Linked DNA regions of Oryctolagus cuniculus. The protein of the gene in region 2 interacts with the protein of the main gene of each other region in a biochemical or structural test. Links are inferred from orthologs where the notes say so. Each region holds a gene or a part of one and is shown on either strand. Other genes may lie near its edges.

What was found.
Region 1: the proteins of TBP (region 2) and GTF2E2 form a complex in vitro, tested with the Homo sapiens proteins (2 studies listed by BioGRID). The link is inferred for Oryctolagus cuniculus from reciprocal best matches to the Homo sapiens genes TBP and GTF2E2.
Region 3: the proteins of TBP (region 2) and GTF2F1 form a complex in vitro, tested with the Homo sapiens proteins (3 studies listed by BioGRID, with this or other methods). The link is inferred for Oryctolagus cuniculus from reciprocal best matches to the Homo sapiens genes TBP and GTF2F1.

Annotation. Positions count from the first base shown.
Region 1 is NC_091433.1:80,641,702-80,645,520, forward strand, and holds part of GTF2E2 (transcription initiation factor IIE subunit beta), read right to left. Parts: intron 307-3,819; coding exon 199-306; intron 1-198. UniProt on the Homo sapiens protein: Recruits TFIIH to the initiation complex and stimulates the RNA polymerase II C-terminal domain kinase and DNA-dependent ATPase activities of TFIIH. Both TFIIH and TFIIE are required for promoter clearance by RNA polymerase.
Region 2 is NC_091436.1:37,109-41,027, forward strand, and holds the end of TBP (TATA-box-binding protein), read right to left. Parts: intron 3,682-3,919; coding exon 3,514-3,681; intron 2,013-3,513; coding exon 1,918-2,012; intron 665-1,917; coding exon 585-664; 3' UTR 8-584; downstream 1-7. UniProt on the Homo sapiens protein: The TFIID basal transcription factor complex plays a major role in the initiation of RNA polymerase II (Pol II)-dependent transcription.
Region 3 is NC_091447.1:60,703,130-60,706,808, reverse strand, and holds the end of GTF2F1 (general transcription factor IIF subunit 1), read left to right. Parts: intron 1-894; coding exon 895-1,079; intron 1,080-1,587; coding exon 1,588-1,741; intron 1,742-1,825; coding exon 1,826-1,887; intron 1,888-1,963; coding exon 1,964-2,083; intron 2,084-2,325; coding exon 2,326-2,399; intron 2,400-2,484; coding exon 2,485-2,623; intron 2,624-2,727; coding exon 2,728-2,845; intron 2,846-2,938; coding exon 2,939-3,143; 3' UTR 3,144-3,170; downstream 3,171-3,679. UniProt on the Homo sapiens protein: TFIIF is a general transcription initiation factor that binds to RNA polymerase II and helps to recruit it to the initiation complex in collaboration with TFIIB. It promotes transcription elongation.

The sequences.
Region 1 (3,819 bases), on a different chromosome or scaffold from region 2:
GCTCCAGCCATTGCGGCCATCAGAGGAGTGAACCAACAGATGGAAAATCTGTCTCTCCCTAACTCCGCCTTTTAAATAAATAAAACTTAAAAAAAAAAAAAAAAAGCACAGATTTCAATATTATTTAAAAAAATTATAAAGAAAATATCTCCTGGTTATTAACCAATTATTTTTATTATATTTTAAGCCTTTTCTTACCTCAGTCATTAACCACTGTTTCTGCTTGAGTCCAATATCTAAATGCTGGGTTTCATCCAAAATTTCTTCTAAAGTTAGAGGATGTGTGTCTCCTCGCTGATGTCGTGTCTATTGAGGGAAGAAATCATTGTCAGTGTTTTAAAATGCTAGATACACTAAATCAAAGCTACCCATAAATAAATCCTTTCAGGAATATAGAACATGTATTATTTGAGGCAGTAAAATTATACTAATTAAAAGCACTGATGATGAAATCAGATAGAATAAAAAAATCATATAACAAGAAAAAAGCATTTGCAACTCACATCACAAAGAGCTAATCTTAATATTTAAGAGCTCCAAACACCTAACAAGGAAATACCCAAAGAGACGAATCCTCAGATGACAGAAAAAGAAATACAAACGATCTTAAACATATGAAAAGACACTCAATTTTTGCCAAGATATTTCTCACTTATTCGAGCTGAACAATTCCAAATGTCTGCCAATTTTATTAGTGAAGCTAGAGGAAAATGCCTTTCTCAAAGACTACTGATAACAGTATAAACTGGTACAACCCTAGAGAGCAGTTTGGCAGTGTGAATTAACTAAATCCTTTGACATAGCAATCTTATTTCTAGGAATTTACCCTATAAACATGCCAGCACAGCACAAAAAAAGTGATTAAAAGTCATTGCAATATTGTTTGTACAAGAAAAATACTAGAGGGGCCAGCGCTGTGGTGTAGTGGGTTAAGCCACCACCTGCAGTGCCGGCATCCCACATGGGCACGGGTTTGAAACCTGTCTGCTCCACTTCCAATCCGGCTCTCTGCTATGGACTGGGATAGCAGTAGAAGGTGGCCCAAGTCCTTGAGCCCCTGCACTCACATGGGAGACCCGGAGGAAGCTCCGGCCATTGCGGCCAATTGGGGAGTGAACCAGTGGATGGAATACCTTTCTCTCACTCTGCCTCTCCTTCTGTGTTTAACCCTGACTTTCAAATAAATAAATAAATCTTTAAATATATATGTATATTAGAAATAACCCTAGTGGCCATTAACAGACAATTCACTAAGTAAACTGCATCCTACATGCTACTGTTCAGATGTTTAATGCTATGTTCTCTATGTGCTAATTTTTTTTAAAAAGATTTATGTATTTATTTGAAAGGCAGAGTTACACAGAGAAGGAGAGACAGAGAGTGGTCTTGCATCCACTGGTTCACTCCACAATTGGTTGCAATGGCCAGAGCTGTGCCAATCCAAAGCCAGGAACTTCCTCCAGGTTTCCCACACCGGTGCAGAGGCCCAAGGACCTGGGCCATCTTCTACTGCTTTCCCAGGCCATAGCAGAGAGCAAGATCAGAAGTGGAGCAGCCGGGTCTTGAACCATGCCGGCACGGCAGGTGGCGGCTTTACCCACTACGCCACGGCGCCAATTTAAAAAAAAAAAAAAGCATTGCTACTTCACTGGCCGTAGCATACGTTTTCATAATGGCTTGCCTTTTTTTTTTTTTTCTTTATTTTTTGACAGGCAGAGTGGACAGTGAGAGAGAGAGAGAGAGAGAGAAAGGTCTTCCTTTTTCCATTGGTTCACCCTCCAATAGCCGTGCGGCTGGCATGCTGCAGCCGGCGCACCGCACTGATCCGATGGCAGGAGCCAGGTGCGTATCCTGGTCTCCCATGGGGTGCAGGGCACAAGGACTTGGGCCATCCTCCACTGCACTCCCTGGCCACAGCAGAGAGCTGGTCTGGAAGAGGGGCAACCAGGACAGAATCCGGCGCCCCAACCGGGACTAGAACCCGGTGTGCCGGCGCCACAAGGTGGAGGATTAGCCTAGTGAGCAGCGGTGCCTGCGAGCATAATGGCTTGTAATAGGGCTTCTCAACCAGCATTCCACAAAACCCTAAAGTTACAAAAAAAAAAAATCAAGATATTAAGAAATAAATGTTTTAACTTCACAAAGTACTAATGCTTATGGTTAACAGGTCATTACTGAGTTCATGCTAGCAGTTTCATTAGAAGTCTATTAGCAGCAAGCAGTAGCAGCACACAAGTAGGACTATGTTCATGCTGCTAAGATCACCTCTTTTTTTCTGCAAAATGGAGGAGAGCTTTTATAACTGGTAAACCATACACCTCACAAATGGGAACACAGGGGAACGAGAATGTCAGCAATTCCCTTCCAAATTATATCCCCCAACTTCCCCTTACAGTGTCAGTTAACTTAGGGGAGCAATCAAGCTCTACAGGCATAAATAGGAAATCTGACGGAAATTTCACTGATTCAAGTAATGTTCACACACCATGATTCAACTGCTATCTGCTGCTCTTCTGTTGTAAATGCGGCAAAGCACAGATCATGTAGTAAAAAAAAAAAAAAAAAAGTAACCTTCACTGTGAGGTTTTCTTTTTTTTTTTTTTTCTTAACTTTCTCAGTTGTTATTCCCCTTACCTGCTGCCTTCCAAGGTATGCATTAGCAGGAAGCTGGAATAGACAGCAGAGTTGGGACTCAAACCCAGGCATTCTAACATGGATGTCCCAAGCAGCGTCTTAACCACTGTGCCAGATACCTCTATCCCTAGTACTTGTTTCACAAACATGTCTGACCAACCGATGTGATTTTTTTTAAGATGATATTTGTGATGGAAGAGGATTCCAAATCTAGACTGATAAGCAATTTTACTATGGTTAATAATAAAGAACTATAATTTCCCAAGTCATGTTACTATACCAATATAGCAAGAAATACCAAACTGGGCGTACACCACATATGATATAAGCACCCCATTCTGGATTGCTGATTTGAGTACCAGCCACTCTACTTTTAGTTTAGCTCCCTGCTAATAATGTCTGGGAAGGCAGTGGAAAATGGCCCAAGTGCTTGGGTCCCTGCTACCCATCTGGGATACCAGGATGGAATTCCTGCCTCCTGGCTTCAGCCTGGCCACAGAAGACATTTCAGGAATGAACCAATGGATGAAAGATCTCTCCCCACCATCCACCCCACCCAGCCTCTGCTGCTCAACCTTTCAACTACATAAATCGTTTTAAAAAAAAAAAAAAAGAGGGAAGGGCTGGCGCTGTGGCTAGCAAGCTGAGCCTCTGTCTGCGGAGCAGATATCACATATGGCCACCCGTTCATGTCCCGGCTGCCCCTCCTCCGACCCAGTTCTCTGCTGCAGTGGAAGATGGCCCAAGTGCTTGAGCTCCTGCACCCAGGTGGGAGACCTAGAAGAATCTCACGGCCTTGGATCGGTCCAGAGATAGTGGTTGCAGCCATTTGAGAAATGAACCAGCAGTTAGAAGACCTATCTCTGTCTCTCCCTCTAACTCTCAAATAAATAAAATCTTAAAAATAATGAGGGATGATACAAGACAACACCTGACACTACAAAGCTAACTACTAATCAACAATTTTCACATGGGATGGTAATCCTCCTTTTCCACTGTGCATCGCCTATGGCAAACAACTTATAATAGATCCAGGAAACTGAAAAGACAAAAAATCCACCAGTAGACAAATCAAGGTACTTACTAGAATCTCAAATCAAAGCTTTATTATTGTTTTTAACTTTTGTTTATATAATTTCACTTTATTTGAAAGGCAGAGAAATGGATCTTCCATCCAATGTTTCA
Region 2 (3,919 bases):
AATCGGACACTTTTATAAACTGCATTTATTGTACAGAGTACTCTGAAGAAAGAACAATATGTACAGCCATTTGTTTTCATTAATATATCTATTCATTCTGTCCTGCAATACTGGAAAGGCGGAATGTGTCTGGCACAAAAATAACCCCTAGGAGTTACAAATTAGAAAAACAACACTTTTAAAAAAGATTTTTACTTTCCTGGTAGAAATATAAAAACTGGTTTATGGGGAAAAATTAAACAAAATAAAAAGTCCAATCAATTATACAGGTGGCTTTAACACTTAAAAGTTTTGTCTCTTAAACCAACTTGTCAACAGCAGTGTTTAAAACCTAAATATAAATAAACGGGCAGCACTGCCCGGATAGCAGCACAGTAGGAGCAACTCACAGTAATGCTGCGTGGTGTTCTCAGTGCAGAAACAATGCCCTCCCAGGGCCCCTGGCGGGACACACTCGAAAGAGCATCGCCTGGTGCCGTGACCTGCAACTGAACCTCCATCTTCTCAACACCACCATTGAAAGGTACCAAACTGATTTCTTTAAAAAACATGTGGGTAGGGGAGGCAGAAGTACATGACAGCTATTACGTCGTCTTCCGGAATCCCTTTAGAATAGGGTAGATGTTTTCAAATGCTTCATAGATTTCTGCTCTGACTTTAGCACCTACAAAGGCAAGAGTGTGAAAACGCATTTCTCAACATCTTAAGGTGGTAAAATTATTATCTTAAAACAAAACTGCAAGCACAATTTTCTCCATACTCAGTTTTACAATTATAGGCATTGAAACTTTAATGGTGGCATCCCTTATCATACCCCAATCACTCCTCAGATGGCTGCAATGGCTGGATCTGGGCCAATCCGAAGCCAGGAGCCAGGAGCTTCTTCCAGGTCTCCCATGTGGGTGCAGGGGCCCAAGGGCGTGGGCCATTTTCTTTTTTTCATAGTTTTTTTTCTTTCTTTTTTTTTTACAGGCAGGGTGGACAGTGAGAGAGAGAGAGAAAGGTCTTCCTTTGCCGTTGGTTCACCCTCCAATGGCCGCCACGGCCGGCACGCTGTGGCTGGCGCACCATGCTGATCCGAAGACAGGAGCCAGGTACCTCTCCTGGTCTCCCATGGGGTGCACGGCCCAAGCACTTGGGCCATCCTCCACTGCACTCCCGGGCCATAGCAGAGAGCTGGCCTGGAAGAGGGGCAACCGGGACAGAATCCGGCGCCCCAACCGGGACTAGAACCCGGTGTGCCGGTGCCGCAAGGCAGAGGATTAGCCTAGTGAGCCGCGGCGCCAGCCTTGGGCCATTTTCTACAGCTTTTCCAGGCCATAGCAGAGAGCTGGATCTGAAGTGGAGCAGCTAGGACTCAAACCCGCACCCAAAAGGGACGCTAGCACTGTAGGCAGCGGCTTTACCAGCTACATCCCAATTCCAGCCCCTCTAAAGTATTTTCTTAAAATGATTTTCTACATTACAACAGCAATGCTTATGGGGACTCCAGCCTCCCACTCTACAGCTCATTGCTACACAATCAGAGTAACCTGGCAGGGCAGCAGCGAGAGTGACTGGATCTTAACGTCCCAACTACTGCCTTCAAGTCAGTGCTTCTGAATCTCCCTTTGTTCTCATGACACTGCTGACAAACCCATGGAAGATACCTGCTCTTACCCAATGCCAGGCTCATTTCCCCTCCCCAGTATAAATGGAGGTCATGCTTTGACTGAAGGCCCAGCAGGGCTTTGTCACATCCCCCTGCTCTGATTTCTTCCCAGCAGTAGGTACTTTTCTCATAGAGTAAGAGTAGGGGAAAGAAGATAAAGGTTGGTAGCCAACTATTCAATGCTGTGAAATTCCTTTCAGCTCTGAGAAAATGCCCACCTTTAAATTCATTCAAACTTTCAGGTGCTAATTCCCATTTGAACTTACCTGTTAATACAACTTTCCCAGAAACAAAAATAAGGAGAACGATTCTGGGTTTGATCATTCTGTAGATTAAACCAGGAAATAACTCTGGCTCATAACTAGAAGGAAAACGGCAAAAACAGATTAGAAATGAAGTTTCCCATGCTTGAGGGTTTAATACCTCAACAAGCCCACTCACTGCACAACACATCCAGGAAGAGAGCACTTACAGCAAGCGAGCCGGAGCTGCATCCACACCTGGACCAGCCAGTGGCTGGCTGCCCTGTCACTTCACCAGCTCCTCTTGCTGAGAAGAGGAGCTGTGCATTTGTTCTGTAGAATGCAGTTCTTACAAAGAGTGATTCTGCCTGAGTTTAGATAAATCTACGTAAAATCATTTATTTCTTTTTTAAAGATTGATTTATTTATTTGAAAGGCAGAGTTCAGAATGAGAGATCTTTGGCCAGGCCAAAGCTAGGAGCTTCATCCTGGTCTCCCACATGGGTGTGTCAGGGGTCCAAGCACTTGGGCCATCTTCCACTGCTTTCCCAGGTGCATTCTCAGGGAGCTGGATCAGAAATGGAGCACCTGAGTCTCAAACTGGCGCCGATATGGAGCAGTTTTACCCACTACACACACCACAACACCAGCCCCAAATCTTTTATTTCTAAAATACAACATTGACAATTTGCCTACTTCTAAATTTACTTTTAATTGAATATTTGTCCATATTTATGAGTACAGTAAGAAAATCTGATACAGCTGCACAAGGTGTATGATCAAACAGGGTAATTAGCATTTCCATCTCCTCACTTATCATGTCTATGTGTTGGGAACCTTTACACACTTGCCTAGTTGTTTTGATATAGACAGTTTTGCTTTCAATCTTATCTCACTTCCTTAAATGGAATATCCTCTAGCTGTCAATTCTGGCCAAGTAATTTATGTGACACACCAGATACTATACTCCAGTTACATGGTCTGATCGAATGGACTGTTGCTACCTCCTATTCTAACTTCATAATCTCATTTTTCTAGTTCAGAGGTTCTGAAAACCAGGTGTCCCTGTGTCTGTGAGTGGCCTCTCTGAGGAAGGGCAGCAAGGGTGGGTATCTGAACTCAAGTGGACATCTCCTAGAACGCTGATGCTGGTCAATGAGCCTGCAGCACAGCATGGTGAGTCGAGGGACACAGAGAACCACGTGACGCTGAGAAGAAGCTGCAAGGTGGGAAGGACTACCTGCCTCGAGTCTCCCAAATAAATGGAAAGAATGTTCCCATCACCCACTTCACATTTTGTCAGCAGAGCTGATATAATGTTGACTAAAAGGAAAGATTCAAACTGGGAAAAACTAATGCAAGAAGCTGTCGATTCAACTCAAGCATTTGCTGAGCCATAAAATGGTAAAACCCAGAAGTGGAAACAAGTTCATTCCAGTGCAGAGGAGTTTGGGGTATGGCTACCGATGTGGCAGGAGGAGGCTGATAGGGAGACAGCATCACAACTCTGCATGCCTCACCGGCTCTTACTCCCTACATAGCTGGCTTGTGTTTTATCCTGAAACACACTAAGGAGATTACAAATGTGTCCCAGCCCAAGCAGAGTACATCCCCGCTCACCTGCTGAACTGCTGGTGGGTGAGCACCAGGCCTTCCAGCCGTATGGGGAACTTCACGTCACAGCTCCCCACCATGTTCTGAATCTTGAAGTCCAAGAACTTAGCTGGAAAACCCAGCTTCTGCACAACTCTGGCATATTTTCTTGCTGCTAGTCTAGACTGTTCTTCACTAGAAAAAAGAAAAAAAAAATTAAGTTCTTTATACTCTAATCCAGCTAACATAAATATTTAGATGAGTAATATTAAAAATTCCAAATTAGGAAATGAATAACACATAAACTGGTCATCTTCCTTTCAACAGGATAAAAGAACAGATATTAACAATTTATTGTCAAGTATTCCTATGTCCTCCAGAGAAAACAGAATGCTCTCTTTCAATTCACTGAATTACTGACAGCCCTAGATTT
Region 3 (3,679 bases), on a different chromosome or scaffold from region 2:
AGAGGGAAAGACAGAGAGAGATCTTCCATCCTTTGGTTCTCTCCTCAAATGGCCCCAGTGGCTGGGGCTGGGCCAGGCCAAAGCCAGGAGCCAAGAACACCATCTCTGCCACCTGGGTGGCAGAGACCCAAGTCCTTGGGTCCTCTGCTGCCTTCCCAGGAGCATTTGCGGGCAGCTGGATCAGAGGTGGAGCAGCCGGGACTGGAACTGGAGCGTGTGTGTGGCCACAGGGCTGGGCCCCGCCTCCCTGGGGCCTCTGCGGTGACACAGGCCACAGATGCATCTGCAGGTGTCCCCGGCGCCCCCTACTCCATTTCCTGTCCCTGGATCTGACTGCCCCAGGGACCTCCCAGGAGTGCAGTCGGGGAGGTTTGACCTCGTGTCTCCCACTGCGCCCGTTTCAAGGTCCACCCACATGGTAGTGAGTGTCACGGCTTCTCTCTCACCCTGAACGAGTGCCCAAAGACGCAGGGCGGGGAAAGCACCCGCAGCCCCTGTGGGAGCGCCTGGCTCTGAGCCCTGGCCCTGGCTCCCGATGCCGGCTTCCGGCCAATGCACGCCCTGGGGAGCAGCGGCGAGGGCTTAGCAGGCTGGGAGCCACGTGGGAGACCTGCATTGAGTCCTGGGCTGCTGGCTTTGGCCGGGCTTCTTGCAGGCACCTGGGGAGTGACCCAGCGGGTGGCAGCTGTCTCGGCCTCTGAAATAAAGGGAAAGCTTTTTGTTAAAGGCTCCCGTTCATGATATACAAAGACAGACTGGGGGGGGGGGGGGGGCGCTGTGAGTGGACGCTGGGCTGGAGAGGGCTTCAGGGGTAAGGCAGCTCTCCCAGGCGGGGTCAGGGCGCCCCGAGTCCCTGGGGGCGCCCTCGTCACCCAGCAGCCCCTCTGCCCGCAGGAGGAACAAGGTGCTGAACCACTTCAGCATCATGCAGCAGCGGCGGCTCAAGGACCAGGACCAGGACGAGGGCGAGGGCGAGAAGGAGAAAGGCGGCCACAAGAAGGCCAGCGAGCTGCGCATCCACGACCTGGAGGACGACCTGGAGATGTCGTCGGACGACAGCGAGGCCAGCGGCGAGGAGGGTGCGGCTGGGGCGAGGGCTGAGTGGGTGCGGGCGCCCCCAGGAGAGCTTAGCGGTAGCTGGCTGTTGGCCCAGCCAGGGGCAGAACGCGTCCTCCTCCCAGGCTGGACCAGGCTGCAGCCAGGAACCTACCCAGTCACTTAGCAGGCAGTGAGGGCAGGGGCCGGAGCCCGGACTTGAGGCCAGGCAAGCGGACGTGAGATGCGGGCACTCTGGGCCCCGTGGCCGCCCCGGGGTTGGCCAGTTTGAATGAGCCTGGTGGACACCGGGCTCTGGGGGCCGTCCTACTCGTCAGCACGTGGGCCTGGTGCGTGTGCGGGTGTGTGCATCACAGGAAGGGGGCTTGGGTTGTGGGCCCGGCCTGGGCGGTCGCCAGGAGGCGGTGCGCTCCTAGCAGGCCCTCGTCGTCTGGAGGGTGGGTGCAGTGGCCCCCGTCAGCGCATCGTCAACCAGGAAGCCCAGGACGGCCCGTGGCCTGAGCCCTTCCTCCCCCGCCCCCGCCCCCGCAGGCAGCAGAGCCCCCAAGGCCAAGAAGAAGGGGCCGCTGACCAAGGCGGGCAGGAAGAAGAAGAAGAAGAAGGGCTCCGATGACGAGGCCTTCGAGGACAGCGACGACGGGGACTTCGAGGGCCAGGAGGTGGACTACATGTCCGACGGCTCCAGGTGAGCAGGGGAGGCCGGTGACCCCCGCAAGCCCCCACGCCGCTCGCAGACCCGCCCACTCACCCCTGCCGCCGTGTCTTGCAGCAGCTCCCAGGACGAGGCTGAGGGCAAGCCCAAAGTGCCGCAGCCGGAGGAGGGGCCCAAGGGTAGGCGGCGCCCGGGGTGGGGGCGGGAGGGGGGGCGCGCTGGGCGGCCCCCTGCTCACAGCCACCCCTCCCCCAGGGGTCGACGAGCAGAGCGAGAGCAGTGAGGAGAGTGAGGAGGAGAAGCCGCCCGAGGAGGACAGGGAGGAGGAGGAAGAGAAGAAAGCCCCCACCCCACAGGAGAAGAAGCGCCGGAAAGGTGGGGCCCTCCCAGGCCTCCCCCGTGCGCGGTGGGCGGGCGGGCGGCGCGAGCAGGGGTCTCGGGTGCACGAAAGGTGGGGCCCCTCGCAGGCCGCCCCCGTGGGCTGTGGGGCGGGCGCCCGCAGGGGTCTCGCGTGTAGGACAGGTGGGGGCCATCCCAGGCCTCCCCCGTGCGCGGTGGGCGGGCGCGCAGGGGTCCCGCGCCGCTCTGGGCCTGACTCCCGACCACCGGCCCTGCAGACAGCAGCGACGAGTCGGACAGCTCCGAGGACAGCGACATCGACAGCGAGGCCTCCTCTGCCCTCTTCATGGCTGTAAGACGCAGGCGTGGCGGGGGCCGGGGTGGGCCGGGGCTGGGGCGTCTGTGAGCGTTCTCACACCCTGCCCCCGCCCCCGCAGAAGAAGAAGACCCCCCCCAAGAGGGAGCGGAAGCCGTCGGGAGGCAGCTCACGCGGCAACAGCCGCCCCGGCACGCCCAGCACGGAGGGCGGCGGCGCCTCGTCCACGCTGCGGGCGGCGGCCAGCAAGCTGGAGCAAGGTGGGTACCGGGCCGCTCTGCCCGGCCCTGGGTCAGAACCTGCCCTCTCTGGGCCCGGGCCCCACCCGCCCGAGGCTCAGCCCCGACCCCATCCCATCCCACAGGGAAGCGGCCGAGTGAGACGCCGGCGGCCAAGCGCTTGCGGCTCGACGCGGGGCCCCAGAACCTGTCTGGAAAGTCGACCCCCCAGCCGTCCTCGGGGAAGTCCACGCCCAGCGGCGGGTACGTGGGCGAGCGGGGCGGGGGCGGGCAGGGGCGGGGGGCGGTGCGGGGCCGCGGGGACCCGCTCACAGGCGCCCGCCCGCCGCCCCGCAGGGACGTGCAGGTGACGGAGGACGCCGTGCGCCGCTACCTGACGCGGAAGCCCATGACCACCAAGGACCTGCTGAAGAAGTTCCAGACCAAGAAGACGGGGCTGAGCAGCGAGCAGACGGTGAACGTGCTGGCCCAGATCCTGAAGCGGCTCAACCCCGAGCGCAAGCTCATCAGCGACAAGATGCACTTCTCCCTCAAGGAGTGAGGCCGCAATAAACGCGCGCTGGCCTGGCGTGTCGTGTCGTGTCGTGTCGTGTCGTCCCGCTGTGCCGGGGACAGCCTCCGTGCTGGGAGCCAGCCCATCTCCACCCGCGCACCACCCCCATGACCCCTGAGCGCGTCCTTAGTGGAGCGAGTGGTGCTGACTCGGCGCTCTGTCGGCTGCTGTCTGTGCGGTCCGTCTCCCATGCTGCCCCGCGGGCGGGTGTGGGCACCTGCGCAATCTGAATGAAGTTCACAGGCGGGCAGACGGCCTTCGGGACTGTTGATTTATAATGAGATTTGTTTATTTGAAAGGCAGAGTTAGAGCTGCCGTCCGCTCGTTCGTCCCCCAAATGGCTGCAATGGCCGGGAGCCAGGAACGCCACCCGGGTCTCCCACATGGGTGGGGACCCCACGTCCTCAGACCATCTGCTGCCTCCCCAGGCAGAGCGGTTGGGATGCCGGCGCCCTGGCCACGCGGCCCCTGTGACGGGGCCTGGACAGGGCGCCAGGGTCGTCGGGGATGGCCTTGGCTCCCCG